Caenorhabditis elegans: one gene and its partner. The protein of the gene in region 2 purifies or fractionates together with the protein of the main gene of each other region. This does not show direct contact. Each region holds a gene or a part of one and is shown on either strand. Other genes may lie near its edges. The genes, in order: mes-2 and chd-3.

The links.
Region 1: the proteins of chd-3 (region 2) and mes-2 purify together in Caenorhabditis elegans (affinity purification with western blotting, with the first as the bait; one study listed by BioGRID). This does not show direct contact.

The regions. Positions count from the first base shown.
Region 1 is NC_003280.10:14,378,535-14,394,197, reverse strand, and holds mes-2 (Histone-lysine N-methyltransferase mes-2), read right to left. Parts: upstream 10,226-15,663; 5' UTR 10,223-10,225; coding exon 9,556-10,222; intron 9,173-9,555; coding exon 8,604-9,172; intron 8,162-8,603; coding exon 8,013-8,161; intron 7,969-8,012; coding exon 7,751-7,968; intron 7,331-7,750; coding exon 7,138-7,330; intron 6,873-7,137; coding exon 6,640-6,872; intron 6,424-6,639; coding exon 6,213-6,423; intron 5,981-6,212; coding exon 5,899-5,980; 3' UTR 5,744-5,898; downstream 1-5,743. Other genes in the region: nurf-1 (DDT domain-containing protein), read right to left, coding at 1,352-1,614, 1,675-1,759, 1,858-2,514, 3,186-3,478; kbp-3 (Kinetochore-binding protein 3), read left to right, coding at 4,133-4,286, 4,342-4,470, 4,514-4,607, 4,873-4,900; F26H11.8 (uncharacterized protein), read right to left, coding at 5,374-5,578, 5,630-5,685; sdz-26 (SKN-1 Dependent Zygotic transcript), read right to left, coding at 10,889-11,044, 11,095-11,376, 11,427-11,612, 11,666-11,845, 11,902-12,186, 12,361-12,426. UniProt on the Caenorhabditis elegans protein: Polycomb group (PcG) protein. Catalytic subunit of a the mes-2/mes-3/mes-6 complex, which methylates 'Lys-27' of histone H3, leading to transcriptional repression of the affected target genes.
Region 2 is NC_003284.9:12,841,807-12,858,440, forward strand, and holds chd-3 (Chromodomain-helicase-DNA-binding protein 3 homolog), read right to left. Parts: upstream 10,796-16,634; 5' UTR 10,778-10,795; coding exon 10,442-10,777; intron 10,388-10,441; coding exon 9,365-10,387; intron 9,299-9,364; coding exon 8,867-9,298; intron 8,818-8,866; coding exon 8,165-8,817; intron 8,119-8,164; coding exon 6,789-8,118; intron 6,519-6,788; coding exon 5,248-6,518; intron 5,199-5,247; coding exon 4,954-5,198; intron 4,886-4,953; coding exon 4,812-4,885; 3' UTR 4,633-4,811; downstream 1-4,632. Other genes in the region: C52G5.2 (THAP4-like heme-binding beta-barrel domain-containing protein), read left to right, coding at 1,575-1,646, 1,986-2,054, 2,331-2,431, 2,721-2,827, 3,172-3,275, 3,331-3,456; C52G5.3 (uncharacterized protein), read right to left, coding at 4,005-4,091, 4,194-4,337; T14G8.2 (F-box domain-containing protein), read left to right, coding at 16,213-16,292, 16,407-16,634. UniProt on the Caenorhabditis elegans protein: ATP-dependent chromatin-remodeling factor that has a role in notch signaling-dependent vulval cell fate determination. May also have a role in pharyngeal precursor cell specification.

The DNA of each region.
Region 1 (15,663 bases), on a different chromosome or scaffold from region 2:
AACAATAAAATAGTTAAAGGTGGGTTTTTGCCCTAACAATGACAGAATACAGTCCCGATATACCAAATACCGTATTTCCTCTATTAGTAAAAAATGTTATACCATGTCTGTAAGAGTTTTTTTTTTGATTTGTTGAAGGATTTTATACTGCAAATTTTGGAATCTCAAAAAATAGGACAGAAATATAGTGGTGAAAAACTATGAAAGGTGCCAAACTAATAGAGGCGGCAAAACTATTTTTCGATAGATAATTTTGATGCAATACTAATAGAGGTGCAAAACTATTAGAGACGCCTTACTAATAGAGGAAATACGGTATACCGTATATTCTCTATTAGTGCTGCATCTCCAGTAGTACTGCAGTCTCTGATAGTGCTGCATTCAAAAAGTGTAGGAAAATTAGTGCTGCAGTCTCTATTAGTGCTGCGTCCCTTTTTCAATTGGAAGAGTCACTAGTAGTTTCGGCATTTTGGGGAGTTGTTTTGCATATTTTTGATTATTTCTTTTTATTTACAAACATAATTGAATTATTGGGTCATTCTTGGTACGAAAGTTCATATTTTTTGATGAATTTCTGCTAAAAATAAGAGGTTTTGTGACTAACAACTAGTATTCTCTAATTGAAAATTGCCGTTTGAAGATTAATGCTGCAGTCTCCAGTAATACTGCAGTCTCTAATAGTGCTGCATTCAAGAAGGGTAGGAAAATTAGTGCTACATGCAGCACTAATAGAGAATATACGATAACTGTTAAAAAATTATAACATTTTTCTAATTTTTTTATGATTTTTTTTATTTTGAAAAAAAGGGCTGAATTATTTTTGTATTCCCGTGCGTAATGAGTGACGGCATTTCTTCCAGCTGTTTTAATTGGAGTTTCTTTATTTTTTCTTTGTTTTATAATTTGAAAATTTTGAACGTCAATTTTTCAGACACTTTTTTTCCGTAAAAAAACCTTTTAAAAATATCATATTATTTAGGCAAATTTTAGGCAAATTTTAGAATACTTATTCAAACATTAAATTGATGTGCCAAAAAAATTAAAGTTTGTCTAAAAATCGATAATTTGGCCTCTAAAAGTGTTCTGTCCGGAAAATGTCTGAAAAATCTACAAATATTAAAACAAAGAAAAAATGAAGAAAAACTAATCAAAACATCCGAAAAAGACGTCACTTATTTGCGCGACAATTCAAAAATAATTGAGCCCTTTTTATTTTTTCAAAATTGAAACAAATCATTAAAAAATTTAGAAAAATGTTATAATTTTTTACAGTTATATTTGGTATATAGGCACGATATTCTATCATTCAGGTAAAAAAAGCACAGACGCTACTCCACTTTAAAAAACTTACACAACAAGACGTCGAACAATGAACCAATAATATCGTCCATATCTATCCCTTCCGATTGGTTGAGATCTTAACGGTTCCCGGTCGACAGCTTCATCCGGCGGCAGTACACCACGAACTGCTGAATTCTTTTTACATATATTGCATACAAGAACCTCAGGAAATGGCTTCAGATGACTGCATTCCACGTGGAAAGCGGCTTCGCATTGAGTGCAACCTACTACACGTCCTGACGATTTACCGCAAACTCGGCAGTTTTCGTCGTTCTGAAAAAAAAAACATTTGAATTTCTTTCAGTTAAATTTTTTATATAACGAGAGTTTTACCTGGAATTTTCCAACATTATTCACAAGTTTCTTAAATTCCGACGAATATAAGAAACGGTAGCTCATGAAGAGAAGGACGACGAGTCTGAAAACATGCTTAATATTAAAAAAAAAACTAAAGTCTCTTTGTATACTGCGATTTTATTTAAAAAAAAAAGGATTTTTCTTAAAATTGAATCTTACTTTGCATCATATCCCACAAACGGATAATTATCGACATTAATAGCATCTCTAACAGACGCATCAGCAAACGGGTACGCCTCAATATATTGTCGTAGAATTTCAGCGTAGGTCAGTGTATCCATATGGTGAATCATTATATTTACAGAATTGTTCGTCTCGGTCACCGAGTAGTGCGTCTGCTCTTCATCGTCGGATTTCAGACAATTACGAAGCAAAGCCATATGGACTTCTGCCATAATACATGAGTTGTTGTGCGATATTAGTGCCGCGCAAAAGTCCTCAAAAGTGAAGGGTGTGATGCGGAGAGTTCGATGATAAGATCGGAGAATCTCGTAAATTTCAACAGCATCCATTATACTAGCCGTTGGAATCGGAATATCCTGACTAGATTCTGGTAGTTCGAGTTTTGGTAGACTTGCAGGATCTTCATCCAACCACGGACAATACTTGTTCTCCTCGTCGAGACCTTTTTCGATTTTAATATCTGTTAAATTCAACTCTTCCTCTTCCTCCTGAACAACCTGATCCTCATTTAGCATGAACTCATCGTCCGAAGATTCTTCTTCTTCTTCAGAATCCTCATCCATGTAGATAATGTCTTCTTCTTGGCGTTTTAGCGATTTGCGACGTGGTGGAGTTGGATTTTTTTTGGGTCGGCTGAAAATTGATGGAATTTATTTTTAATCTGAACAGGCAGATTTATATAGCTTCTAAATATTCTTAATTTTGCAAAATTGGGATTTTTCAGAAAAATTCCCAATTTTTTGGAAAAAAAATCCATGATTGTGAAAAAAAAATCTCAATTTTTGAGTAAAATTCCATTTTTCTGAAAACAAAATTTAATTTTTTTGCGGAACACTTTATTTTTGTTTTTCTTGATTATGCAAATTGTAGCCTCGTTTTCAGGCGTTTTTCCGCAAAACTATCATAAAAAGAATTTTGAATTTTCGATTTCTGAAAAAATGAGAAAAAATCAAGAAAACCCGAAAAATTGGCCGGAGAACGCAAGCATAGTTCCTTCGGAATTTGAATATTTGCAAAAATTCGAAACATTTTGCAGTTGTATTCGGTATTACCCAGGCGCGAAAATATGATCTCGAAACGACAAATTTTTGTACATCGCAAATGGGTTTGCATAGTTTTTCTTTAAATCTAAATAATTTGTTGTGAACGACGTGAAAAAGCGTATTATACGTTTTTTCGATTGAAAATTTGACGAAAGCGGAAATATCCTAAGAATTTGCGTTAAAACTTGAAAAAAGCATTTAATTGAAAATTATCTGAAATCAGCGGAATTTCTGAAATTATTTTTCTTCTTGATTTCTCACCCTCTAGCCTTCGAGGTACTCTTTGGTGCTGGTGTTGACGCAGGTGTAGATCTAACCGAGATCTCTTCAATCTTCACCTCCACCTCCTCGGCGTCTGATGGTGTTTCCCGTTGAGCCGCACGTTTTTTTGTTGGCGGTGGACTGTAACCGTCGTCAAAATAACGTTTCGGAAGTCGACTGCGGCGTGGACGAGATGATGATGTGGATTCTGATGGGTCTTCTGAATCGGCAATTGAAGAATTTCCGGATTCAGACGGATGCTTTCGCTTTGAACGGCCACGTGGTGGAGCCATCTGAAAAAATTTCGAAACTTTTCGAAAATCGATAAGCTTAAGAATGTTCGTCAAAAAATATTGAAAGCCTCGAAAGGAATAAATTTAAAATCAAATTAGAACACTGGTAATTGTGAAAAAGAGCTTGAAATCCAAGAAAAAAAGATTTTACGTCATCATATGGTCTTTGGAGGAAAATCAATAAAATTTGCGAGAAATGACAATCGGAATATAACATTATTAGATAAAAATACATTAAAAAAGGATCCAGGATTGGTAAACTACAGTACGAAATCTTAATTTTTGAAGCTGAAAAAATCGATAATGGGATAAAACTCATTTTCCAGCGGAAAATCGGCTTTTCTCAAGTGGAAACATAAAAAACAATGGGAAAAAAGGAAAAATAATAATTTTCCGAAATTTTCCTTCACTTTTCCGTCTAAATAATCAGTTTGGACACTTTTTTGAACGCGCCGCGCCGTAAATCGACTCAGTGCGAGAGGCACACCCTAAAGGCGCACACATTTATTTGCAATGGTCGCGACGAGACCTTGGCCCTCTTGACGCGGGAATTTGAGTTGGAATTTATCTTTGCTAATTTTGCTGTCGCATTTTTATTTATTTATCTTAGTTTTTAACCGATTTTCATTGAATTTTTGCAGGTTTTTCGGCAAAATGGAGTCACTCAACGAGTATATGGACAAGATTATTAATCGTCTTAAGGCAGTCAATGAGAAAGACGAATTAGTTGATGAAGGAATGCGGAAACTCCAAAAATGCCAGGAAAAAATTATGAAAACGAGAATCGATGCTCAAAAACATATCGATGGTAAATTTGCAAGGAAATTGTTTAGATGTGTGCATAAAACAAAACATTTGTTCAGAACGCCACGAGCAACAGTCATTCGAACAACAGCTACTGAACAAAAATATGTTTGAAACTGAGCAACTGGAAGAAAAACTAAAAAGATTGGACGATGAGAACAAAATTGGAAATGAGCGGGAATTTAACAGTAAGCTGATAGTCTTTGAAACAATTTATCTGATTTACTCCAGAAAAATTGGAAGCAATATCTGCGAAGTGGACGGATGACGTCAATCTCTTGAAAACCACGCCGAATGAGCCTAACGATGGGAATAGAAAGAAATTGTAAGGGATTTAATTAAAAATAAGTTTTGTGAAGAAACTGCTCAAAAGTTTTTAAAATCTGGACTAAAATCTTCAGTTTTGCCTACTTTACTGTGTGGCTGGCAGCAGTCGGAACTTAATGTTTATTTAATTATTATTATGCGGGCGGCACTGAAGAGCGGTAAAAATTTTGATATTTCACCACCAGACTCGTTTATATAGGTCCATTTTAAAGCTATTTAACCAAAAAATCCTTCTTTATAAACTAAACGTGTATTTTTTTCAGATCGAACCTCTCCAACATCTTGGTCTAACTCTGGTTTTCATCCACGTATCAATTATGCCTTCTTTTCATGTATATTAAATCATTTCATTTATTATATTGTTATCATCATCACATTTCAATAGTTTCCAATTGTTCCGTAGAAGGTATTAGGGAAACTCTTCTCTCTTCCGTTCGAGGAAAATTTGTTCAAAAGTTCCCAGGTGTTAGCGGAAGATTGTGGATTTTCTTGTGATGTCGTGGTTTCTACAGGAGCCGGTCTCACTCTTGCCAGGGATTCTTCAGAAGAAGAGGATGATGATGAGGAAGACGAGGACGACGACGAAGAAGACGATGAAGATGTGGAGGAGGATGGACAAGAAGCAGAAGCTCTCCGATTCAAAGTTTTCGGGCAAAATTCTCCATTTGGATTCACCTCGCAATCGTGATGAATTTTCCACGCGATGAACTTGTCCAGGTACACATTTCTATAATTGGAATTTTTCTATAATATTTGGAACATTTTTATCTCTGACAACCCGGATGCAATGGGGCCTGCCTACAATCGACGCCTTTTCTCTGTCTTCCCTGGATTTTGGATCTCGCTGCAAACTTTCTCGCAGCTTTCGGAATGCCAAGCTTCACGCAAATCTCGTACGTTGGATCGATCTGGCAAAATGTTTTGAGTTTCTCAGGAATTACGGCCGGTGGTTCGATTAAGCTTCTGCTACTGGAATTTTTGTCATTTTCAGATTTTCCTGCAGAAAAAAATCCAACTTACGTTTCCGAAGCCTCCAGCAGCATGGGAAATAAGAAAAATAAGAAGAAAATCACCATCTTTAAGGAAGAAGTGAAAAAATTGTGCTGTGTCGGGCGATTTTATAGGAGGAATTTTGATTCGATTATATTTATGGTTTTCAGAAATTTGAAGGAAGGAAAATGTATTCAGAAACATGAGATTCTAGGGAAATAACAGTTAAACAAGTAGATCTTGAGATTTGAAAGTGATATCAACGGGAAAAATTTAAGAAAAAAAGTCAAGAAAAAAGATTATTCAGAAGTCATTGGTTTGGAGAGTTTCTGGCTTTTGGGCCTGCTGGGCTTCTCGGATCTCTCCTTGGTTTGGACCATCCTGGAAAAAGTTTATTCAAAAAGTCAAGTTGAAAGTCTACACAAAACTGGTTCTCGAAGCGACCGAAAATTTGCAGCTACCGTAACCAACCACAATTTTCTACGGCTTATCATGATTTTTTTGATCCAAAAAAATCTTTGTGTTATAAATTTTTAAAAATTGAGTGGAAAAAACTAGAGGGTACGGTAGCTGCAGTCGTCTCGAGACCCGAAAAGCTTTTTGCAAAATCTACCTGAACGCTATCTGATGTTCTCCAGAATAACTGTAGTCAAATGTGAGCTCTTCACTAATCTCAAGCCGTCTCTTCGCATAGAACCCAATTCGGTGCTCTCCGGCGACAACCATCGTTCTCGCGTAGCACGTCGGATTCTTGCTGTCATGATTGGCAAATCGTGCCAAGTTTCCAATTTTGTACGAATCGATCGCACCCCCGGTTTCAATGTCTGCAAAAATATTTTTTTTTGTTCCGAAAAATTGAATTTTCAAAAAAAAAGAAAACTTTTGATGGTTTTTTTTTTCGATATTTTGTTAATTTTTTGAAATAATTTTTTCTTATTTATTTGATTTTCAAAAAATCGAAATGTTGTCTCTAAAAACCCAAAAAAAATTTAAATTTAAAACATTTTTCTGCGACACCGTGATCTAAAAAAAGTACATACTAAAAATGTAGCTGCACTGATATCGATCATATATCGCACCGCGTCGTTCGGCTTCATCATCGGAAATTCGTTCACCAGTGTATTCCGTAATGAACTCGTCTTTTTCGGCGGGTTCCAACAAGAAAAGTCCATTGCCTGCTATTTTCGATGGCCCGCAATACGTTCGTTTTTGGATCATTCTAGTCATTCCAAAATTGCGGCATTTTATTATGTTCGAGTCGATGGCGTCGCATCTGAATTTGTTTTTAAATTGAGAATTTTCAGGTACAAAATTCGATTTTTCTGTGCTATTTTGATTTTATATACCTTTTTTTAAATTTGGGATTTTGATTGAAGATTTTTAATGGACATTTGGTCCTTCTTTTTCGAGAAATTTTCAGTTCGATCAATTTTTTTTGGAAAGTTTAATTTTTTCCTTTCTTAAAATTTCCATTTCTGGAAGTTCTGAAAAATTAAAGCTTACTAAAAAAACTTTTCAAAAAATTCCTGTGCACTCACTTGCACATATTACACGTCATCGGATTACATTCCCAATTGGCTCGATAGCACTGGCAAGCCTTCGTGTAGCACTGACCGGCGGCGCAATTGCATCCCGGGAATCGCTGAGAACAGTTTATATCGCATTTGCACATGTACGAGCACACTCCGTTTTCACGACATGCACAATTTTCGGCTGTCGCGTTGCATGGGCCTGAAATGTTTAAAAATTAATTTTCAATTAATGGGGTTATTAATGCGATGTAGTAAAATGTGCAAAAATGTGTTTTCATTCATTTGTGTCCAATAAATACATGTGTGTCCAATAAATACAAAAAAATATTCGTTTTCTGCATTTTTCGACATCGGTCGACAGCCCACTTCACATGCTGAAGGCGAGAGACGCAGAGAGATATGCACCCGCGGGTTTTCTCTGCGTGTCTCGCCTTCAGCATGAGAAGTGGGATGTCGCCCAATGTCGAAAAATGCAGGAAATGCCGAAAAATGTCGAAAAATGCAAAAAATTAATGCTACATTGTTCGATGCACATGGGTAGGTGAAAAATGTATAAAAACAAATTATTGCATTTTTCTACATTTCACGAATAACCCCATAATTGTTTTCCATTCCTCACCCGCATGTCGACACGCTGTGATTGGCGTCACCGCGGTCATGCGAACTTTCTCGCTATTTCGCTGAGAATCACGCATATCATCTTCTCGAATCAATTTTTCCGCATCCAGACCATCTCTCAATGCTTGAATACGCAGACTGTCGTGACGCAGCTTACGCTTCGCCTTCTCCTGACTCAACTGATTACGACGGAAGTTGTTGACTCGATCCTTGATACTTCTGAAACAATTCAATTTTTTATATAAAAAATCGCGTCAACTGACAATCTATTCGACGGTTGTCCCATTTTAAGTCGTCGGGCGCTCACATTTTCTGCCATCGACATCATTAGATGATATGCGTCACGACATGAACGAATTTTGCTTTCCTCGTCGTCTTCGTCGACATATTTTTTGACAAACTCGCAGAATGGCTGAGAATGGATTTTTTGCATTTTAAGCTATAAAGCTCGATTTTGCACCCTTTTTTCCTATTTTTCGCTATTTTTTGTTTAAAATAGTTTGATTTACATAATATACAAACTCTTAAACGCAAAATGAAAAACAAAATAACGAAAAAGGTGCAAAATCAAGCTTTATAGCTTTAAAAAAAAGAGAAAACTTGCGAGAAATTAATTTCACTGGAAATATAATTTTTCAATAAAAATGTTTCGGAGGGATCATCTCAGACCTCCAACTATCGCATGACACTATTTTTATTCCGAATTCAGGAATAGTTTTTGAACTCTTCCCTTGTTAGAAAAATTATTGAAAATTTAAAATTACAGTACTCTTCAAAGACGCACGCCTTTTCGCATTTAACAAAAATTTGTCGCGTCGAGGCCAGGTTTTGGCGCAAAAATCGCGTACTCTTACAATATATGTATTGAACACGTAAATGTTCACAATGAGCGCTCCATCTTCAATCGGCATCTTTGCAATTCTTGATTTCATGAAATAAATCTTCACTTCTTTCTGCAGAATTTCTTCAGAATCCGGCACAAGAACTTCTGAAACTTCTTTCATCGTCACCGATTTCCAGCAATTTCCAGAACACATCTTTCCATCATTTTCCGGGTTATTTGGCAGCGGAAGCATCGCATTATAGAATTCACCATTCGGAAACTCGATTGGAATTTCGGCTTTGAATCCGTGAATCGCACATGTATATGCGAGGCACGCGTAACACGTCGGATTTCGAAGATTTTGAGCACCTTCAGCGATTTTTGTCTTCTTCCATGGTTCGAGGCTCGACGGATCGAATCCTTTTTCAGCAAAGTTCTCGCACAAAACGGGAAAAGCCGACGAAAATTCTCTCTGTGAACTTTTGTTTGGCCATAGACGGTAGAGGGTGTAGTAGAATACGTCTGGGCTGCCTTGGTAGTCTTTGAGCGCAGCACGGCATAGTTTGTAGAGTATCCAATCATTGACATAGGACCAGTTGTCTGAAAAATTTAACATCAATTCGCTTAAAAAATACCTGGAGCTAAGGATTTGCAAGATTGTCCCGAGGTTTGATGCATGTCGATTTATGAAACATTTAGAACTACACGTGGACAAGTGGGAACTTGTTTTTCGCATTTTTCACTTTCAAGGCTATTTTTTAAAACTAATTTTGTGTTTGACATTCAAAATGACATTAATTGAAATAAAATTTCAAAAAAATTTTACGGCGATTTCTCACTGAAAAGTGAGAAATTAGGCAATTTGAATGTAAAATGTAAAAATAAATAGAAATAATGGTACCTTCGTCCCGCCTGTTTTTTTTTCGATTTTTGGGGGTTTCTCAGAGAAAATGGAAAAAATCCGGTATTTTGCAATTTCTCACCCGAAAATCCATGAATTCCATCTGGGAACATATCAATCAAATGCTCATAGATATTCCCATCGTCAATACCATCGCCAAAATACGGCATATGCGTGAGCCGCAGCTGATCCGGAGTCGCCACACTTTGCTCGATTGGAACCCAGTATATCATTGGCGGGGAAATGTCGCCAACCTCGATACGTGAACACGGAGCACGAAACTTCTTCATCAAATCTCCTTCCTCCGTTCGATCCGGTTTGATCCATGTAACTGTGGAATCGGAGACTTTGTAGTCGTTTTCTTCGTATTTTTCACAGTTTTTGAATGAAAATTTTGCGATAGTTCTGCCCTCTCCTAAATTTTCTTGCAGCCTTCTGCGATATTCATTAACACTGCTGCTCGCATCCTTCAACCAATCTTTGATGTCTGTGTCCAGCTCGTCTTTTACTCGAATGTCATAGTCATCTTTGATAGCATTGAAGTGGCCTTTAAGCATACGTTTACATTCTTCAATTCCTTGTTCGCACACGGTCTCCTTGATTTTTTCAGATGAAAAAATTGGCTGAATTTTCACAAAGCGAGGCAAATTTTTCGATTTCTTCGATTTTCCCATAGAAGTTTCGCACTTTTTCCCGCGCTTCTTTGTTTTTCCTGAGGGAGTTGATGTGCTGGGCTCTGAGTTGCTCATTCTGAAAGAATATTGCGTTTTAAAAAGGGAGAAAATTGTATTAAGACGAAAAAGACGAGAGAATAAATCGAAAACAAACAATTTTTAATTTTTAAAAACATTGCAAGTGTTGCGTGCAATCGCGCCCTATTGATAATGTGAAGTTGGCGCGAAGGTTTGGAATTTGAATCTGACAAGGAAAACCAAATGCTTTTTGCAAAATATGTTACCCAGGCGCGAAGTTCTGCCATTTTTATGCTAAAAATACGGTGCCAGGTCTCAACACAGCAATTTTTTGTTAAATGCGAAAATATATGCACCCTTTAAAAAAGTACATAAAAGTCAAATTTTCGTGGCCGCGGAGTTTTCATCGAATTTTTTCCGATCGCAATATATTAAAAAGCTTATATTAAATATAGAAAAAAAATCAATAAATTTTCGAAAAAAGGATTTAGGAAAACCTACTTATAAAAAAATCGATGAAAATTCCTGAGAGTTTGCAATTATGTCTTTAAAGGCACACACCTTTTTGCATTTAACCAAAATTGGTTTTGGTGAGACCGGGTACCGTAATATTTGCAAAATTTTGCATACTAACTATTACTAGTAAGGCTGAATAATTCCAAGAACAATTTTATTTGAACTTTGGAAAAATTACAAAAAAAATTTTTAAGAAAATTAAATCTATTATTGACGCGGTTCCATGCTCCGAATCTTCACCAGTAGCTCATTGATCTCTTCAGTTCGATATGGAAGATTCAGTAGAGTATTCTCCACCGCAAACTCGACAAATCGCTCCCGTGAAATATTGCAATTCAGTAGCAACTCAACGGCTCCGTGAACCTGAAAAATATTATTTTGAAAATAGAGAAAAACATCAGAGGTAAACTCACAAATCCATCGTCTTGCTTCAAGAATCCCATCATCAAAGACATGAGCACTGGCCATGCTTCTTCTCCTTCTTCCATTCCGTTCACAGCTTTTTTCACCTCCCGGAAAGCTTCAATATGCTGGGAATTCAATGTGGACTCCTCAATTAGCTCGATCTCATCAAATAGTTGTGAAGCAGCTGAGATCTTACGAGGAAGAGCTCGGATCAGTGATTGGATCTCGTATTTTCTGTAAAGTGCCAGTGGAAACCGGTGCTCTTGGTGGTGGATTATGGCTCTTGTGATCTGAAATATCATATTATAATTTAAATTGTAAAAATTAATCTATAACTCACCACTCGTCGATTCCCAGTCTTAATTGATTGCACCAGGTGCACCATGAGAACTTCCCAAAGGGCCCACTCATAATTCTCCATCATTTTGTAGTGCCCTTCCTCTTGATCACCATGCAAGTGGAGATTATCGAGAAGTTTTGGGAGCAGCTCTGTCTGATCGAAATTATCCATTTCGAGATTTGGGATCTAAAATGGAAAATTAATAGTTACCCTAAACTTTTCTTTGAAAAAAAACATGCATCTTGATCCAGCAACGACTCGTCTGACAGCTCCCGTCGCAATTGTTCAATTTTTCGCACCAACTCGTCTGCTTCAACAAATCTGTACTGGAACTGAGCAGCAGTCTCGTGCACTCTATAGTACTCGAAATCCGCAAGTGATAGCTCCAATGCACCGAGAAGTTTGAAGGCACATTTTACCTGAAAACCATAATTGTTTTTGAATTCCCGCTGAAATTAGTGACCATTTAACTTACAAGAGCCAAATCATCGAAACACATCATATCAGTGAGAAGCTTCAAAACATGGTCCGGGACAAATGTTCCACCAAAATCGTACAATGTTCCGTATGTGAAATACTTTACAATTTTGGCCTTTTCCCTTTGCATGCTTGCGTTCCTCCATTTTCTGATCCTTCTGGCAAAGTCGGTGGCCGGCGCTAAGTTCGGGACAAATTGATCGATCAGACATGCGATGTTGCACTTGTCCAGGATTTCGACGGTAAAGGGGACTTCCGGCAACGTTTTCAAGACTTCTTGGATCTGAAATTTCATATTTGGATTTTGAGTATATGTAGTAGTTAGCAGGGCTGTGCGGCTGTCGGCTTCAGCCGATAACCCAATTTTTCTACAAGCCGCACAGCCCCGGAAGGTAGGGCTAAAGAAAATCAACGGGAATTTAAGCATTACGATTCAAAATAAAAGCTATTTACTTACCGATTCTTCGTGTCCGCTCTTGATGACACGTGCGAAAAGCTCGATCTCGATCTCAGTTCGGTTCATTTTTGATCTGGAGAATTGATCTGGAATTTGAACAAAATGTATAAGTTATACTATAAGATTTTAGAAAAATAACTTTAATAAAACAGAAAAAGAGGTCACCAAACACCATAAAAAAATATTAAAGACTGACCTGGTCTTCTTCATTGTTTGTCTCCTCGGACGCTGCAACATTGCAGCGTTTGTCCAGGGAAGGAGGTCAATGTAGCATTGCAGCACGTCGGCAGAGTGCTGTAATTACACTTTCGGGAGCACTGTGGCGATGCGCATGACAGCTCGTATTTATTGATTCTATTGACGTAATGAGGTATGGGGAATGAGCATTAGTTCATGACAAAAATGTTCAGACGTTCAATCATAATCCCACTTCAAAATGCTGGAAAAAAGCACATTTTTTGTTATAAATATTGATTCCTTCATGCCTGCCTGTTGGCATGTTTAAAATGGCTGTGCGGAACTTGTTTCGGTAACCTAATCTATGTATGTACTCAGACTATTTTATCAATTAGGAGCCTAGGCAGTTAGGGTATATGGTATATGGTATATGGTATATGGTATATGGCAAAGAGTAAATGGCATAATTTAATAATTAATACATCTTTATCTTCGAATTTCAGATTTTTTAATGGATAATTTCGGAAAGTTTTCCAACCCCTAAGTGATTTTTCATATGCTGAATTTCATGTTTTCCAGAACACTTTTCAAAAACCTCTATTTCCCACAAAAAAATACTGAAAGTTCTCATATACATTCTCATTTCTGACGACTCCCCTTGGACCAATTGTGCCGAACGATCGAGGAAATTTCCGGAAAACGGCGGTGTACTAAAAAGGAGCAATAAAACGGGGGTAAAAAAGAGCAAAGACAAGCGGGAATGGGTGTCCTGAAAGTTCCAAATGATTACCACCGCTTCTGGTGGAATTAAATATTTTTATTTGTACATAATTTCTTCGACGGAAATTTTCTGTGCGGTCAGACAGAGAAGAGACGTTTTTGGTGAGCAAAAATTTGAATTTTAAAGTTTGGCACATCAATTATGATCCAGTTAACCCTTGAATTTCACAAAAATAAGTTCATAGGATTTTTTTCTGAAATACATTTTTTCGATTTCACCTCAATTTTTTGGCGTGGTCTCCTGGTCCTCTCAAAAAGAGTCGAACGGAAATTCGACAAACACCGCTTCACTGCTCCTCCACTTCATCTTGCAGACTCACTTTATTCTTAAAAAGAGGCGGGCCAATGAGAAGGAGCAAAGAAGAAATGTGAGCAAGGGTCAACCTACCAGCTCACTTTTTCAAGAGATTTAAGATATTTTCGCTTGACTGCACAAGTTTTCCGGTGACGAAAATTCATAAAATTTTGAAGTATACTCTGACGTTTTTCCACTTTTCTGTTTTAGTAAGATTAACTGTTTATTTTTTGGGATTTATAATATATATACATTTGAAAATTCTCAGGTAAATCCGGTTAGAAAAATTTAGTTTAATTTCCAAAAGTAGTTTTAATTGTCTAAAACTTACTGAACTTGTTTTTAACTTGAGACCCATTGCTGTAAGACCTTGGAGCAAAATTTAAATTTTAGTTTTAGCATGCCGAACCAGAACCTTACAAATTAGAGTATTCCACTTCAAACTTGCATATTCTGAAATGTCTGGTGTTCTAACTTGAGCTTCCAAAATGTGACGAAAACACAAAATTTACATTTTTTTTTGTCGGTAAGCCCAAAAACACCACCCTTGTCAGCTTCGTTTCACCCATTTTGAAAAATTTATAAAAACACAAAAATTTGGGAATTTTCACATTTAAAATTTAACTTAACTTGTTAGAAAAATTTCCAGTATTTAATTCAATTTTAATTTGAGATGAAACGAATGTTTCAAAAATTACAAAACTTTTAAGAATTCAAAGTTAATTTGGAAAACAATATTGAAATATAAATTTAAAGATTTTGAAAAAAAAACAATTTCAAAAGTTTCAAGATAAATGTTGAAAAAATCTACATGAATCTACGAATTTTTTGTTTTTTTTTTTGAAAAAAAAAACGGATAGAATGTTATAGAATAGAGCATTCTATAGCATCTCCCTCAATATTTTTTTTCGATGTCCAAAATTGTTTTGTTTTCGGAATTTCTTTTGGGGGATTCTGGACACATTGGCAGTAATTCGTTGTACTAGTCATTGAGATTTTCTTTCCTTCTATATGTATCTCTGAATTTCAAATTAAATTTAGTTTTTTGAATTTCGGTTTTTCTGATTTTTGTTTACATGTTGAGAAAAACTGAGATTGTCTTTGATGTTTCTGAAATTTGTTTACGTCGTTAAACTTTTTCTTAGCAAAAGGAAACATTTTTAGTTATTTATAAACAATGTTCTGTCCAAAAATCATTACTAATGACAGCGAGCGTCACTTCAAAAGTAGGGATGAGGCAGGCGTAGGTCGCCAATAAGGTATACATTTTTATGCCTGAAAAGTGAAAAGTTTCCGACAGCCTTTACATTTTTCTCAAGCCCATATCCAATTTTTCATATATTCTCTCTTTTCCAATAACATTCTAACAATTTTATGGTCCAAATCAAATGTACTTCCGGTGTATTACATGGACCCTTACACACACACACACACACTCTTTTTTCACACCACTTTTTTCTCATGTACATATATTTTTCTCTCGGATGACTGAGAAAACCCCACAATTTCTTTTTTTTTTTTCATTCTCTGTCACATTTCCGGTTTACTCGAAAAAGTGAGCTTTCATATTTTTGAAGATTATTTGTAAATGTAGGGCAAATTTAAATTTTAAAAAAATGTAGGCATGAGACAGTTGTAGGTCGCCTTGAAGATAGGCATTACGTAGACATCAGAAAGAGCTTAACTGTAAGTTAATTTAAAGGTGCATGTATTTTTCAAGGTATATTTAAGTGGTGTATTTTTTCAGGTTATAGGTACCGTATTTCCTCTATTAGTCTTGCAGCCTCTATTAGCCTTGCACCCCTAGAGGTCAATCGAAAAATAGTCTTGCAGCCTCTATTAGCCTTGCACCCCTATTAGTCTTGCACCCCTAGAGGTCAATCGAAAAATAGTCTTGCAGCCTCTATTAATATTGCAGTCTCAAATAGTCTTGCACTCCTATTTTTGCCTAGCCAGCTATACTAACTAAGAGGAAACGTTAACAATTTTGTAATTTTTTGGATAAATTGAACTTGAAAGTGATTAAATAGCTTATGAAATATGGGAAAAGA
Region 2 (16,634 bases):
TTTAAAACTGGATTCTTTCTATAATATTTTGTTGCCTTTCTGATCTTGTCCTTTATGTGTACCTATAAAAAGTCCCAATTAGTGTTCCGTTGATACCAAGTTCCAATAATCACATTTTCCTCTGGGGTATATATGAATATGTGACCTACACTAAAATGTTGTGGTTTGTGATGTTTTGCATTTTAGTGCAAATTATCCAGACTAGGGTTAATTAGCAAAACATAATTTGGTTACAAAGTAAACTTGTGTTCATTCAAAAGGGGATTTAACCCGTTTTATTTAAATAACACAAATAATTTTTATAAATTTGCAAAACAAAGGGAGTTTCATGATTGGTCTTTGTAAACAATATAGCAAGTTCTATTCAGATTTAATTTCTCAAAAGATGATGATCTTGATGAAATAAGTGAGAAATTGCTCATTTTGATTTTAACAGTTGGGCTATGAATATGACAGTACAAGTACTTGTTTTCAATTAGTTTCTTTATAAATGTGGATGCCAGCGCGGAGCTGCTTATACCGATGTTCGGAAGCCCATGCCTGGTTACACTCAAAATAATAAAACTGCGTGGCGTGTACGCAGAAAACTCCAAAATTAAGGCAGCGCCTTTTTTCTGGAAAATCACGGGAAAATGGAAAAATCGGGACCCCAACCATTATCAGGCCGCCGACATCTTACGGATTCCGCTCGCCGCTATGTTTAAACACGCTGTGGGCGTAACGAGCTGTCTCCTCCCGCTCGAGTTAAACATAACGGCGCTCGGAATCCGTTAAGATGTCGGCGGCCCTGATTTTGGTTGGGGTCTCGATTTTCCGTTTTTCCCGTGAATTTTCCAAAAAAAGCGGGGTCCTAATTTTGGGTTTTCTGCGTACACGCCACGCAGTTTTATTATTTTGAGTGTACCTATAGTTCACCATTAGCATTTTACCAACCTGAAATATTTACTTTGTGTTCATTTTTTTGCACTTAGATTATTATTTTTAATGAATTTTGATTATCTTCCCACAAGCCATATTCAGTTTCAATTTCAACGAAAATGATAATTCGGGTTTCAAATTGTGCAGTTTTAAATAACCATACGAAAAAAAATCATTCACCCATCCGGTTTGCCGATCGAACCCACAATTTTCCCCATTTCTTCGGTAATTATCGTGTTTTCGTTTCAAACAAGGAACTGAAAAAAAAACGATTTTCGTGTAATGAAAATGACCCAAGCAAAGGTGACAGAAGGGAACATATCTGTAATTTACATCAATAATAAAGCGGTGTTCATATGACAGGAAAGCGGAGAGAGAGGGAGTGATATGGTGTAGAAGCAAAAGGGGATCAGTCAAGGCGGTCTCTCTATAAGTGTGTACGAAAAGAAAAGATGGATGCGGAAAGAAAAACGAAAAGCACAGAAGGAACGGTGGACGCGCAGAAGACGTTGTCCGAAAGACCGCACTAGTGGGTGGAGACGCCGAGGAGAGAAACCGACTATGGTAGACCGGTCTCGCCCTTCCATTTGACTGTCATCATTCCTCCTCGTCGTTGTTGGAAAGGGGCGAAGAGGACACGGCGCAGTTTTGTGGATATGTCGTCGTGCAAAAGCCACGTTTACGTTTCAGCTTTCTTATTATGTATGCTTATTCCTATTTCTCAACAGGTAAGAATTGATTTTTGAAAAAATAAATTGTGTGTATTAAAATCGTACACTGTGATCATAGGTTTTTTCTTTAATAGTTGTGGCATTGAATTAAAAGTTATGTCCTGTGTTGTACTCATACACAATTTTTATTTCTGTGGCGCCACGCACTTCAAGGTTTGCACGCATCTTTCTATTGACTCTTCTTCAATTTAGCAGCAGCACATTACGCGCATCTTTTCGCACTTTACTCAGCGGTCTCGTGGTGTAGTGGTTATCACATCTGTCTAACACACAGAAGGTCGGTGGTTCGAGCCCGCCCGAGATCAGTCTACTTTTTTAATTTTTGTATTTTTGCAGGTTCTCAATGAACACAATCAGAAACTTGAATGGATTGTTGGAAAATGGAGGTCAGAATTTTCAGGAAAGGTGCGTTTTCCATAAATGTTATGTGAGAGTTACATACAAAAAATTGAATGGATATGAGTTTTTCCATGAATTCCTCAGTCTTTGCACATTAGATAGTTTAGGGTTAGTTGCTGTATGGGAAGCTATTGTTTTTGTAAACCGCTTACATCAATTTGTCAAAAAAGTAAATCGTGTAGTGATCTTCGAGATCTGTCTCGGTAATTTTTTTAAATTAAAATTGATTTCAATAAACCCACGTAAAAAATAAACTAATTTCCCAACTTTCGGTATTTTCAGATTTTTTGGCCAACTGTGCCTACAATGACATTTGGAGAGGAATTGGTCATCAATGAGGCACCGATTGCCAAATCAGCCAATGTACAATTCTTAAACTTCTCGTAAGTTTTTTTGACCTTCAAATTATTCAGCAATAGGTCAACATTGCATAGCAAACCAAATCGACTGTAACAAACAAAAACTCACCGAAAGAGAAAGTTTCACGCACTTCCTTATGTCCGATTTTTGTCATTGAAAGATATCAGACAGAGATAGTTTCATTAGTGTTTTTTTTTTTGAGTAGTGTGGTTTTTCCTAAACAGGGCGCAAAACGTGTTCGATTTGAAGGAAGTGATCATTAATCAAGTGAAACGTTAAAAATTCGGTAAAGTGCAACGGTTGATGTTTCAGAGCACGTGCATGGTCTCATTCTACCAAGGACCACTTCCATGACGAATGGGGATTCTTGACTGTTGATCCAGTTGGAAACGCCACTTTGATGACTACAGGAAACAATGGTGAGCTTTTAAAACTTCAAGGCTCTGTCGATTAGACTGACAGGGCACGTTTGACTCCAATCCTACAAAAAAACTATACTCTGTTAACCTTTAGTATTCTACACAGGAGCAAAAATGCCAACCTATGTGGTTACAACACAAGTAGCACTAGTTTATAAAGATTCTACTATTAAAATTCTTACAGCAAAGCTAAGGTATTTTGAAATTCTCATCTCTTTTGTTCGTACACTCTTGTGTGTTTAAGTTTTTTAGCATTCGATATTATTTGTTATTGGTATCATAACATTCCATACCATTTAAAATGCCACTTTTGAATTTCGAAAAAGTCCGAAACCCAATTGCAGGATTCACCACATACGAAACTGGCACCGTGTCGCCAAACAAACTGGTTCTCACATTGAAGGATATCGGACGCATCTCGTTCTCTCGAGATTTACCTGTTGAGGACGTACGCGTTTCTAATTACATATAGAATTTTGCACTGCTATTTTAATTATTTCCAGTTGCGAAGAACGTTCATTCGCCACGACGACCGGTATATGGAGCAAGTGATTGAAATGAGGACGGCTACACACCCAAAAGTCGGATATCTTGAGCATACCAGAGTGGTCTACACCAAATTGAAATGATTCCTCAGTTGTTGCCATAAAATAATATATATTTTGGAAAATTGCCTTGAATAATTTGAAGTTTGCGTTTTTGTGCTTAGTGCCATTGCGTGTACATTTTTGAATAAATATTTTATGATTTTGTACCATGTCGTTTGATATAATTTTCTACGAATGAACAATTCACCGGAGTTTCAAATTATGGAAAGTGTTGCTGACTTTTGCAATCCCGAGGCAACTGCTTTCACTTTTCATTTTGAGCATATTTTGTTTTTTTGGCAGCAGTTGGATACTAATTCTTGTTGTTTAGTCTTAACCAAATTTATGAATTTGACACGCTTTTTATACATACTTTGTTTTTTTTTATTTACGGCCGAAAAAACAAAACTGTGTGGAAATGGTGTGTGTGGAAAAAGGTTTTTTTTTTAATAATAACAAAAAAAATCTAGTTTTGACATTTAAAAACAAAACCAGCTAATTAAAATGTTTTATCTCTAGGAAACATTGTTTTTAAACAACTGTTGACGATTTTTATAAAATATAAACAAATTTATACACATTTTTTGTTTTCATGATTTATTTAAAATCTTCTTTTTTGTTGAGTTAGTGCGGGAAGTTGGTCTCTGTGAGGAATAGTTGAGAAATACTGCGCAGCACTGAAAATAAGAAATGTTGTGTGGCAATTGAAGCATTTTTTCCCATTTTGAAGCTCAGACCAATAACTCAAAAAGAATTAAAATAATACAAAAAATACATACCTGTTTATGAAGTTCCATCAGCTGTCGACTCGCATCTTCGTTGTTCTCACTAACCATTAAATTTTTGACGACTTCTTCAACATGTTGCTCTCCGAGTTCTTTGTCGATCTTCTCATAGATTTTTTCGACCACTTCGTTTGCCATGACTGAGAGTTTTTGAAGCCAATTATTGCTTTTCACGGTTGTTGTGTGCCGCCAGGAACAATTATTGCATTGTTAGAAAAGTGATTTCCGGAGTTTGAATAGCGGCTTGATTTTTTGAAACTTGACAACTTGAAAGCACATGTTTTTGTGTCGTATTTAACCACCGGCATTAAATTTAAAAAAAAAATCGTCTCTGCAAAAAAGTTCGCTTCTGACCACCCAGTACTTTGAACATCCAATTTTTCATATCATAGTATTTGAAGCTTACCCAATTTCCAAACTAATATACTTGAGACGAAATATCAATGTTTATGTGCGATACAAAGAGTTTTCAATGAATGATTATACAAAAATCGGCAAAACATGAATTTTGACGACAATGACAAATGAAAAATGAGAAGAGACCGAACATTTTAAGTAAACAAGAAAAATGACAATTATTCACGGTTATTCCAAAGTTAAAATCCACGTGGCTTAATATCTCGGATAGGACGAACCAGCAGCTGCTGACGTTGAGGGAATATCCTTGTCAGATGTATCCATTGGCTCTGAAATCAATAAAATGTATTGCTAATTTTGTCATCTCAAACTTGAAGTTTGAACATTAGCCACTAACCATCCTTCGTTGCAGCAATTGATGATGCTCGGGATGCCTCGGCGACAGCTGCAGATATTGATCCTTCAATATCAATAGGTTCATCATCAGGCGACAAATTACAGTCAAATAGAGAAGGAAACTTTGGCTGGATAGTGGTGAAGTTTTGATTGAACAAAGGTGTGATGAATGGTCCGCTTGGTGGGAGTGCTGGCTTGCTTGGAGCAGCATCGGGATCCTTGGCGACTACTAAGCGCGATAGAATTCTGCAAAGAATAAAATTCCAGTTTTATATATTTCTCGTTAATCACTCACTGTCGTTCACTCATTTGAAGTCTTTCGGTGACTGGCCGAACTTGAGAGATTGTTGCTGGCAGTCTTGCAACGTCGGTTTTCAAGTCGGAAAGCAAATCATCGAGTTGGGCAAGGCACTTGTGAAGAATCGCGTTAGCATTTCTGTTTCCATTGTTGCTTTCTCTTGCAATATTGACGTGAGCATCAGCAGTGTGCTCCAGCTCCGAGAAATGCTGAGCCAATTGGCCAACTTGGTCAGGAGACTGTTGTTTGTTGATGTGAGCTGCACGACGAAGTTGTTCTTCAATGACCAGTGATTGCTCGAGAAGTTTGAAACGACGAGCCAAAAACTTGTTCTTCACGTCAGCAAAATTAGTGGCAGGATCTGCACCAGTTTGTTTGAATGGCTCATTTACAATCGAAAATTTCGGATCATTCATAATATCTTGGAAGTTAATTTGATAACGTCCGTAGCCATAGACTGCCACAGCTGCCAAAAGCCAGAAATCGTGCCGGCGATGCCAAATCTCATACTCTTTTCCATTGCGAGCCACCTTCTCTTCATTAATCCAAAGACTATGAAGCTCAGTGTATCCTCCATCGCAAATATTAAATTTGTATGGTAAACGAGGAGCTTTGGGTTCCTCCTCGACTTTCACTTCACTGGCAAGTTCTTCTGTTTTAGTTATATTGGACTGATCAACATCCATCGGAGTCTCATCAATATCAATTGGCTCTTCTTTGATCTTAATCATTCCAGGTAAATTCGAAACTGATGCTTGAGCTGCGGTGGCCAACATCTTTTCACGTGTCTCTGGCATTGACCATTCTCCATTGAATTTTTCAAACTCTTGCACTTTTTTGCGCAGAATCGACATCAAGCCGATACGACTCAGAACCGCTTGACGATTGAGACCTTCACGTGGAACACCATCCATAAAAGAGTCACTGTTATCCACAACCGGCTCACACAGATGGCGCATGAAGAGGGATGAGTACGCCTTGAACACTTTTTCCGATTTGTTCCTGAGATCTCGAACTTGCCATGATGATTGGGTGAGGTCTTGTGGTGGCATTCCCCAACGCATGACAGCATTGTAAAAGGCTTTTCGTTGACGTGGGTTGAATCCGAGAACCTCAATTTGGCCATTGACCTTGGCAAGGAGTGGTGGAAGCTTTTCGGATCGTTCCTCGCGACGTCGGCGCCTTTCCTCATAGTCTTCGTCAGTTTGGAGTAGTTCCCCATTGTCGGATCCGTATTCTGAGCCGTCATCTTCCTCTTGTTGTTGGTTCTAAAAATTTAAAAATCAAGAAAACAACTACATTGATCTTCCTTTATAAGCATTTCAATTATAAATTTAATAACATGCCCTCACTATTTTGGTTTTCAGAACTAATCAAAATTTGGTCAGCAAATATTTTTGTGGTTTCATGTGGCATGCGCTTTTTTATCAACAGAGCGTATTTGCCGCCGCAGTTGTGAGTGAGAGCTTGGCAGCAAAAAAACTACAAATATCGTTGGCTATCATTTATGGAAAAAAAAAGAAACTACAACAACTCACATTTTGAGCAGACCAGTCTTGTCCCATATTTTCACTGGCATAATTGACCTGGCGACGTACTCGCTTTCCTTTTCCCAACTTCTGTAGCTCAGTTTCTTGGTCTTGTTCATAATGATGCTTGAGCAACTTCTCCCAATAGTTTGGATCTTGCTCTTCCGTTCCCTCTTTGATGACTTCTGTCTCATCTTCATCATCATCTGCGTCGTCTGCTTCTTTCGTATTATAAGTGGCTACTTTGAAAGAGCTCAAATATTCATTAGTCCAATGTTCCTTCTTTTCACCGTCCTGACCTTCTTCCTCCTTGTTTCGGTCCAACAGGAAATCGACTGCAGCGTCATCCCAAACAATTTCTTGTTCGTTCGGCTTTTTAGAACTGGTTCCCTCTCCGTCTGCACCCTCAACTGGAGCTTCTTCTTCTTTGAAAAGCTCTTCGGTACCCCAACGTAGAACGTCGTCAAGTTCAGTTTTGCTCATGCTCTTCCCATCTTTAGCTCCCAGACCAGCACGGACTACCAAGTGAGTGAGAAGCATCTTTTTCTTGGCAACTGATGTGATTCTTTCTTCAACTGATCCTTTTGTGACAAAGCGGTAAATCATTACTTTGTGTTTCTGACCAAGACGGTGAGCACGTGAGAAAGCTTGGATATCATTGTGAGGATTCCAGTCAGAGTCATAAATGATGACAGTATCAGCAGTAGCCAAGTTGATACCCAATCCTCCAGCACGAGTAGAGAGCAAGAAGACAAACTGTTTCGCTCCCGGAGCATTATATCTATCGATTGCGTCTTGTCTCTGTTGACCAGTGATACTTCCATCAATACGTTCATACTTGTAACCTTCAACATCACAAAAGTCTTCAAGAATATCCAACATCATCGTCATCTGTGAAAAGATCAGCACGCGATGACCTCCATCCTTCAGCTTTCGCAACATTTTTTGCAGAAGGACAAATTTTCCGGCATTTTTGATAAGCGCACTTCCCTCGTACATTCCATTTTTAAGTTTTGGAGCTTCCAAACACGCTTTCATAAAGAGATACGGATGGTTGCAGCATTTTTTAAGTTCCATAATGATGTTGATCAACGACATCTGGGTTCCACCATTCTTCACATTCAACGCGTCAAAATTGCGAGTGAGAATGTTCTTGTAGTATTTCTTCTGCATCGCACTGAGCTCTACACGGACAATCAACTCTTGCTTGGATGGCATTCCAGTAAGGACGTCAGCTTTAAGACGACGAAGCATGTGTGGGCCGAGCAGGTTGTGAAGTTTCTCAATTTGATCTTCTTTGGAGATTTCGGAAAACTCTGCTGTGAAGCTTTCAAGCTGGCTGAAAAATTAACGATATAAAAAACCCTATCTAGTTAAAAACTTACTTAAAGCGGTCTGGTGCGAGGAAATTGAGAAGATGAAACAGCTCCTCTAAATTGTTTTGAAGTGGAGTTCCAGTGAGAAGCACACGGTACTGAATGTTGTATTCTCTGAGGTTTTTGAAGAATGTCGATTGATTATTTTTCAAACGATGAGCTTCATCAACGACTAGTGCAGCCCAGTCAATGGATGAAAGAATTGCCTTATCCATATTAATACATTCATATGAAGTGAGAAGAACGTGGAATTTCAAGTTTTCCAATGTCTTAATCTTGGAAACTTTTGGCCCTCCTCTGACGGCTCCATCCACAAATGAAAACTCATGCTCACGAATGACCATGCGCGATTCACGATCTCCAACATAGGTAACGACGTAGAAGTCTGGACACCAAAGCTCGGCTTCACGTTCCCAATTGATGATAGTAGACAGTGGAGCAGCAATGAGGAATGGCCCCTTGGTATGCCCTTCTTTCATGAGTGTGTACAGGAATGTCAGAGATTGGACGGTTTTTCCGAGACCCATTTCGTCGGCAAGAATGGCATCAGTTCCATTCGACCAACAATGTCGCAGCCAGTTGATTCCTTCCAATTGGTATGGATGAAGATTTCCCCCAGTTTCCGAAATAAAGTCTGGTTGCACTTCGTATTTTTTGAGGATCTGAAAAAAACGAAATGGTGAATTTTGAAAACTTATTTATTGAACTTACATCAATTTTTTCTCGTTTCTTTCTTCTCGAGGTGACTTCATCCTCCTTAGGTCCCAGTCCCTTAGCTTCACGCTGCTTAGCAATCATCTTCTGCACATTTCTAGGAACTTCGTCGTTCAGCATGCGTTCTCTGTGATGCCAATACTTGATGATCGCATCTTCATAGTTGGCAATATCCGTATCATCTCTTTCCCAGGTCGCGTGCTCATAAGATAGCTCCTTCCACTTGACTAGGTAGTCTTGTTGAGACTTTGCATATGACAAGTGATTGATAATACGATGAATTTGCATCCATTCAGGCTTAACACCATATTGGTAGAAACGCTCGCGTAGTTTGTATGGATCATGATCGGAATGATGGCGTGAGAGTGTAGACTCCTCGAAAATCGGTGGATTCTCGGAATCGACTTTCCGCCAGTACATGCGAACAAGCTGAAATAAATAATCATATTTAATAAACAAAAGTTTTTTTTTTAAATTTTCCTGACACAAACATACCGCTGTGAAGTAGACATCCATCAACGTCTCCGAAAGCCACTCGCACTGCCAGTAAGCCAAATACTTCCACTTGACAAAGAACTCCCGCTCTCGACGAGGCTCCATTTTGCGGGGAGGTTTAAGGAACACGTCGTCTTTGCTTGCTTCCTCTCCTTCTTTACATTCCAATGGCTCCGGATAGCTGATTTCCTTCCATCTCCAACTGAGAATCTTCTCAATTCTTTGAGCCGGCTCGGGAATAATGCAACGCGGACAGGACCATTCGCCTTCGGGAATTTCGGTAAGTGGAGGATCAATGCAATAGGCGTGATAAGAGCTTGGACAGGTGTCGCATAGAAGAATATTTGAGGTTTCTTTGCAAATTCGACAATAGTCCATGTTTGCCTTAGCTGGTTCTTCTTCAACTATCAAAACATCCGGACCGTGCTCTTCACAATGGGGACAGCTCCAATCTCCTTCTGGTGGCTGCTCCATGTTCTCATCAATGCATGCAACGTGGTATGCACGAGTACAAGTATCACAGAGCATAAGCTCGCCATCTTGATTGCAAACTTCACAGTTCTCTTGATGGTTTTCTTCCACCACTCCTTGCTCTTTACGTGCTCGTTTCGATGCTCGAGCCGATTCCAATGCGGCCTTACGTTTGTCCACTTTTGCTGCAGCCCGATTAATGCGAGCTTCTTCTTTCCCCTTCTCAGCTTCATCTTGTTGCTTTTCATGTTGTTTGATCAAGGCCTCAAACTCCTGATCACTGTCGTGACCGCCACCTTCACCATCTGATCCGTCACGACGCTTTCTGCGAGCAGAAGAACGAGTCTTCTGTGGAATGATCTTCTCTTGAGGTGTCACCGGAACGGGTACCGGAACAAACTTCGCTCTTTGTTGCTTTTGAATTGATTTGCCGTGTGCTGTCATGTGATCTTGAAATTCTTTGTATTTTACTTGAAATAGAGGGTACATCTTTGTGACGTTTGTGCCGGGATTCACTTTTAAAATGTATGGCTTGACAAGACTCGAAAAGTTCTGAAAATTTAAAGTTTTTGTTTAGGACAAGAAATCGTACATTAAAAAACTCACTTTCAAATTGGTAATCGACTGAAATTCCTCCTGCTCATAGTCCACATCAACGTCGGTCAATCCTATTGCTGCACTGATTTCTGCGCTTGTCGACTTATACGGATCCGGGTAATCACAGTTGTTTTTCTTTTTCGAAGATTTCTTTCCGCCCTTCTTCTTTTTTGGTGGTGGTTTTTTCTTCTCAGAAGTGGTCGGAACTCCCTGAGATTCTTCAGTTTCCACCTCCTCCTCATCTTCGCCGACATCTTCTTCTCCATCCTCATGACCTTCTGCTAGCATGGAATCCTCCTCCATTGTCTCATCACCGTCGATTGATTCGTGTTGATCGTCTGACATTGTTCTTTATGGGAATTACTGAAAGAAGTAATGTTATTAAATTCGTCTTTATATTTTTACGAGGAGAATAAGCGAAGAATAAGAAAACCAGAATTGAATGACCAAGCAACAAAATAACTGAGCCTATCTATTTTATGTACAAAGTTTACCGCCGAAATCCTAAATTTTATGCGGACTTAGCAATGGAGCGCAAATGCATAGTTCCAAAAAATACCAAATTTCCATCTTGAGAACGGTCTGTGGCTGTGAGTTGAATTACTTTGCCAAATATTTTGTGAGAGACCGGATTGATTTGTTGATTTTTTTTTTATTTTTAAAAGATTCAAAGATGCTCCACAAAAATTTTTTCTCATAGCGCAAGGATGATGACACAGTGTGAAAATAAGATTCAAGAAAACCCGTTTTTCGGATTTCAAAATTATCCAGACTAGTTGGAAGACATTAATGAAGACACACATTAAAAATCTGAATAAGGGGATTGTCCCGCCAGGGGTGTCTCATTGTGTCCCACTCGTTGCGTCATTGCGGGGACATCTAGTGTGAGGGTCAGAGACGCGCGCGCGCTGGCGTGTTTGTTTACTGCGAACTCGGTCAGATAAAAAAAAATGAGAGAAAGAGATATGCAACGAGACGAAGACATAACGGGCATAAAAGTTCGAAAGAAGCTCACGTTTGTTCAGAATAACTGATGAGCTTTGTGGAGAGAGGACGAAAACTGATAAGAAAGTCACAATTTATTTTGGAAAGTTTTAAATAGGACAAAGGTCGAATGATCGAATTTTTTATTCAAATTTTGAAACATGATACAGGATCTCAATGGCTAATAGGGAAAATCATGAAAACCATAGAAAATATGATGTAGTAGAGCAAGGAAATAAAATTTTTATCAAATACAAAATTGCAGTCTCGCAATGGAGAGAGGCGTCGAATGAAAAATCAATGTGGATTAAATGAGGCTGGAGCCGAAGCGAGCACGGACGAATATTTTCCGCAGATTAGCTAGAACGAGAGAAACCAGATGGGTGGAGTCTTCTCATCCGACGTGTCTCACACGAAAGATGGAGTGACCATGAGAGACCTAACCAACGATCGATAGGCACGAAGGACAGGTGTTTTAGGACGTGCGCATTGCACACAGCGGTACGAGTGCCCTTGTAAATGAAACTACGAATAGATAGGAACGCATTCGCAGCACTCTTTTTTTGGTAGTCTCATCCAGGTTCTGATCGAAGAGTGAATTAGAACGGTAGTCTTCAAAATTAGTGAAGGAAGCAAATTAATGCCGATCATTTTAAGCAGTTCGTCGATTTTGTCGATTTCGTCAATTTAATATTAAGTTTTTCAGATCCCTAAGCATAAAAACGGTAGAACCACTGTTAACAATAAACGTGCTACTCGATCGTGAAAAAATTGAATGTGTACTACGTACTACGCACGTATACAGAAAAAAAATACACAACGGAATGTGTATTGAGAGAGCCATCTTCAAACCACATTTTACAAAAATTTGAAACCATGTGAATATATATTTTATTGAATTTCTGAACTGAGCTTATCGCATTTTCTAAAGATTAATATACTAAGTGGTGGAGGGGACTAAAATAGCAACATGCAAACAAAAAAGAGTTGGAGTTCTGAACAGAGGAATCGAATAAACGTTGCACAAGAATCGATAAACTGCTTGGCTAGTAATTAGACTTTGTAGAGAACGTTACTGACTACAGAACTAGAGAAAAAGAGCGAAGACCCGATGTGCACACAACAGATGTCCAGTCGCGCATCAAGGGAACATGTGAGCTGGTACACGCCCAAGGCTCTTCTAATTGGTATAGAGGATTAGAAAAATCACAGGAGCACACAGATTTTGAGTTTGATCACTGATCTTCATAGATTCCCGTTGATTTTTTTTATGATTCAGAACATTTTCTGGAAAAAACGTCAAAACCATGAAATTTACATATTCCCATTAAAACCTCCTACGCATTTGTCATGTGACGTTTCAGCACTATATAAGAAATCAGTCTGTCTTAGAGCATCATTGTAAAATTTCAACATGAAATCCTTTTCTATTGTCCGATCCGTCTTCCTCTTCCTTATGGTATTTCTTCTGGTCTCTTTGGCTACAGCAAAAGTGGAATTGGGATGTCACAACTGTAAAAGCATTTGCATCAAGGATATGTGTGTCACCTATTAATCCGTCCGACTTCGTTGTTCAATAAATAAGTTGAATTGTTAAAAATTTTCATCAAAATGAATGGGCCGAACCGGGGATTGAACCCGGGACCTCTCGCACCCAAAGCGAGAATCATACCAATAGACCATTCGGCCATGTTTCCTGGACAATCGCGCGTCTTTCAACCTCCGCCATTCCTTTGATTCACAGCAGCTGCCCATTTTGCGCGTCAAATTAAACGTTTTCAAGGGAAGTCTTTGAGGGGGTCCGTAGATTTGGGGTTCTCATGCTAAAATTCCTACAGAAGAGTGTTAGTTATGATCTCTCCAAAAAATTTAGCTGCCCCGGTCAAGTTTCAGCAAAGTTATGACGTTTTGAAATTTCAGTTAAAAACACCATTGAAATCCACTGTCTTACCATGCAATCCACGCAAATCTCAGCTTGCGTGACCACCGAAAATGTGACACCCACCACATTGAGTTGAAAAATGTCCTCGGTGGCCGAGTTGGGAGTGCGCGCGTCTGATAAGATTTAAGCTTTGGTTCGATTCCTTCTATTTTTGAAATATTTTTGTAAGTTGAATAAAGTTGTAAAACAACTCATTCAAACATTTTTGCGCATTTTTAAAGTGATTTTATTCTTATTCGGGAACCTAGAATCATTGTCCGCACTTTTTGGAAATTTTTATTTTTTTCATTTTTGTTCAAAATTTCTTGATCAACTCCAAGCAAAAAAATCAAAAAATTTCATTTTTCTAAACAATTATGAAATTGCTATGTTGTTGTTCAGAAATGTATGAAACGTACATTACACAAGTTTTAACTCTCTATTCGCAAGTAAACCGTCGAAATGATCTACATCTCACGAACTTTGTGCAAAATATTTAACCAACTTTGAAGTTGCATAACTTCGTTGAGATAAATTATTTTGAAAAATGATCAACTAACAAAATGTTTGTTGAATAACAGTGAACAAAGTTTTAGTTATAAACTTTTTGATACCTCCAGCTACAAAGAAGAAAACAAGGTTGGCATTTGGCTAGTTTTTCTATTAACATTGTGTTTTGGAAAACGGTCACAACTTTTTGGTGGCTGAAGGTATCAAAAAGTTTATAACTAAAACTTTGTTCACTGTTATTCAACAAACATTTTGTTAGTTGATCATTTTTCAAAATAATTTATCTCAACGAAGTTATGCAACTTCAAAGTTGGTTAAATATTTTTCACAAAGTTCGTGAGATGTATCATTTCGACGGTTTACTTGCGAATAGAGAGTTAAAACTTGTGTAATGTACGTTTCATACATTTCTGAACAACAACATAGCAATTTCATAATTGTTTAGAAAAATGAAATTTTTTGATTTTTTTGCTTGGAGTTGATCAAGAAATTTTGAACAAAAATGAAAAAAATAAAAATTTCCAAAAAGTGCGGACAATGATTCTAGGTTCCCGAATAAGAATAAAATCACTTTAAAAATGCGCAAAAATGTTTGAATGAGTTGTTTTACAACTTTATTCAACTTACAAAAATATTTCAAAAATAGAAGGAATCGAACCAAAGCTTAAACCTTATCAGACGCGCGCACTCCCAACTCGGCCACCGAGGACATTTTTCAACTCAATGTGGTGGGTGTCACATTTTCGGTGGTCACGCAAGCTGAGATTTGCGTGGATTGCATGGTAAGACAGTGGATTTCAATGGTGTTTTTAACTGAAATTTCAAAACGTCATAACTTTGCTGAAACTTGACCGGGGCAGCTAAATTTTTTGGAGAGATCATAACTAACACTCTTCTGTAGGAATTTTAGCATGAGAATCCCAAATCTACGGACCCCCTCAAAGACTTCCCTTGTTAGGTCGTAAATGTGACGTTCATACGCAAACACCATACTCGTTTTTGTTGTGAGTTTTCTAAATCTGAAAGATTATTAGAATATTTGTGAAAACTTATAGAGACAGAATTACGAGTTCAATTTCATTTTTTGTTGTCATAAGCGAGAAAAGGGGGTGTTTGATTTGAATTGGGTATTTTTTGGGTAATTTCGTTAATTGGGTAAGGAAGGGTATTCTAAATTCTTAGAAAATCAGAAAAGAGCAGTGAAATGTTTGATGAAAAGGCCTCGAGTCACGTTTTGAGAAGAGATCCTAACAGATGGCTCAAAATTTGTACTGAATGGGAGCCCTGCCACAACAAAAACTGGAAGAGAGCAACTGGTTAACCGAAGAAACGATGGACAAAAGACATTGACGACGCCTTCAAATCGTTTAACAACCCGAGGCTCTTCAAGGAAGAGTTGTAAAAGATTTGGAATCCTTTCTCCAAAGGTTCCATGGTTATAGAGCGCCCGCACTGAACGTGAAAACTGGAGAGAATTTGTCCGAAGTTGCTTGTTAACTTGATCCAAACGGACTTCAAAGTATCAAAGTAAGTAACTCCAGTAGAGAAGCGCACATGCTGAAGAAGGCACCCTAGAAGGTAATGAAAAGGTGGGAAGAGGTACTGGATGTGAATCAACATGTCTCAACTACCAACCAGTATAGTTGGTACATCTTCAACTTCGCTATCTGCAATCTTTATGACGATGGTCGAAAGGATTTATGTCACTATTGATTGAACATGAAGGAGGTTTACGGGGTTGAAACAATTTTAGTTTTTCCCCACAACTGGACACACAATTTTTTCTGCATTAGATTTTGTCAGCTCCAAAACTGTTGCACAGGCTCACCTGCTAGAGACAACTCTCTCGCACAAAGGTGAGAAGAGACGGTGGTGTGGGTGGTTTGTCTCTCCTTTTATAGTGTTCATAAATAACCTATTGATTGATTTAGATCTCACCGTTGCTGGGTTGCTAATGACATGTAGACTCTTCTACTGTTTTTAGATTTTAGTTTTACCCGGTTCTTTTATGAAACGACATTCAAATTAGGTGTTTGATATTCCGAACAATATAATGACTTGTGTTCGCTTCATATGCGTTCGCGTAAATATACACAAAATATTTCTCTCTCTGCGTCTCTATAACTAACTTCATTCTATCAATTGGAGAAACATTCAAGCGTTCGGATTTCAATCAAATCTTCTGATTAGTTTCCACTTTAAAGTACTCTTTCTCAAAAAAAAAACGTAATACTAACATTTAAAATTTCCTTCAACATTTACCCGTAGGTGTTTTTTATCAACATTCTTTTCATTCTTTCTCATACGTGTCGTATTTCTCGCACAATTCATCTAAAAATCTAATCCTGTTTCAGGCAATATCAAAATGAACGATGGTTTCCAGCTGCTGCGTCTCCCTCACCTTGTCATGATCAAGACTTTAAATTTCATGCCAATTGAAGATCTGTAAGTTTTAAATAGTGAATAATTTTACTAAATGTGCATTGAAATATGTTTGACACTCACAACTGTTTTTATTAATTGAAAAAAAAACACTTCAAACTAATATGCAATTTTTAGACTGCAAATTTCGGACAATCCTCTTCTGTATAACTCAATACGTGAACATGTCAATACCGAAAAGTTCACAGTAAACTTTTATACTGATCAAAGTCAACTAAAAATCAAAGGTTTCACCTGGCTATTTTACAAAACCAAATTTTGGGATGAAAGTGAATCGATAAAAACCATTGGACCCGTTACTGAAAAAGCTCATGTATTTAAAAATACGTGGTGGACTCATTCCAA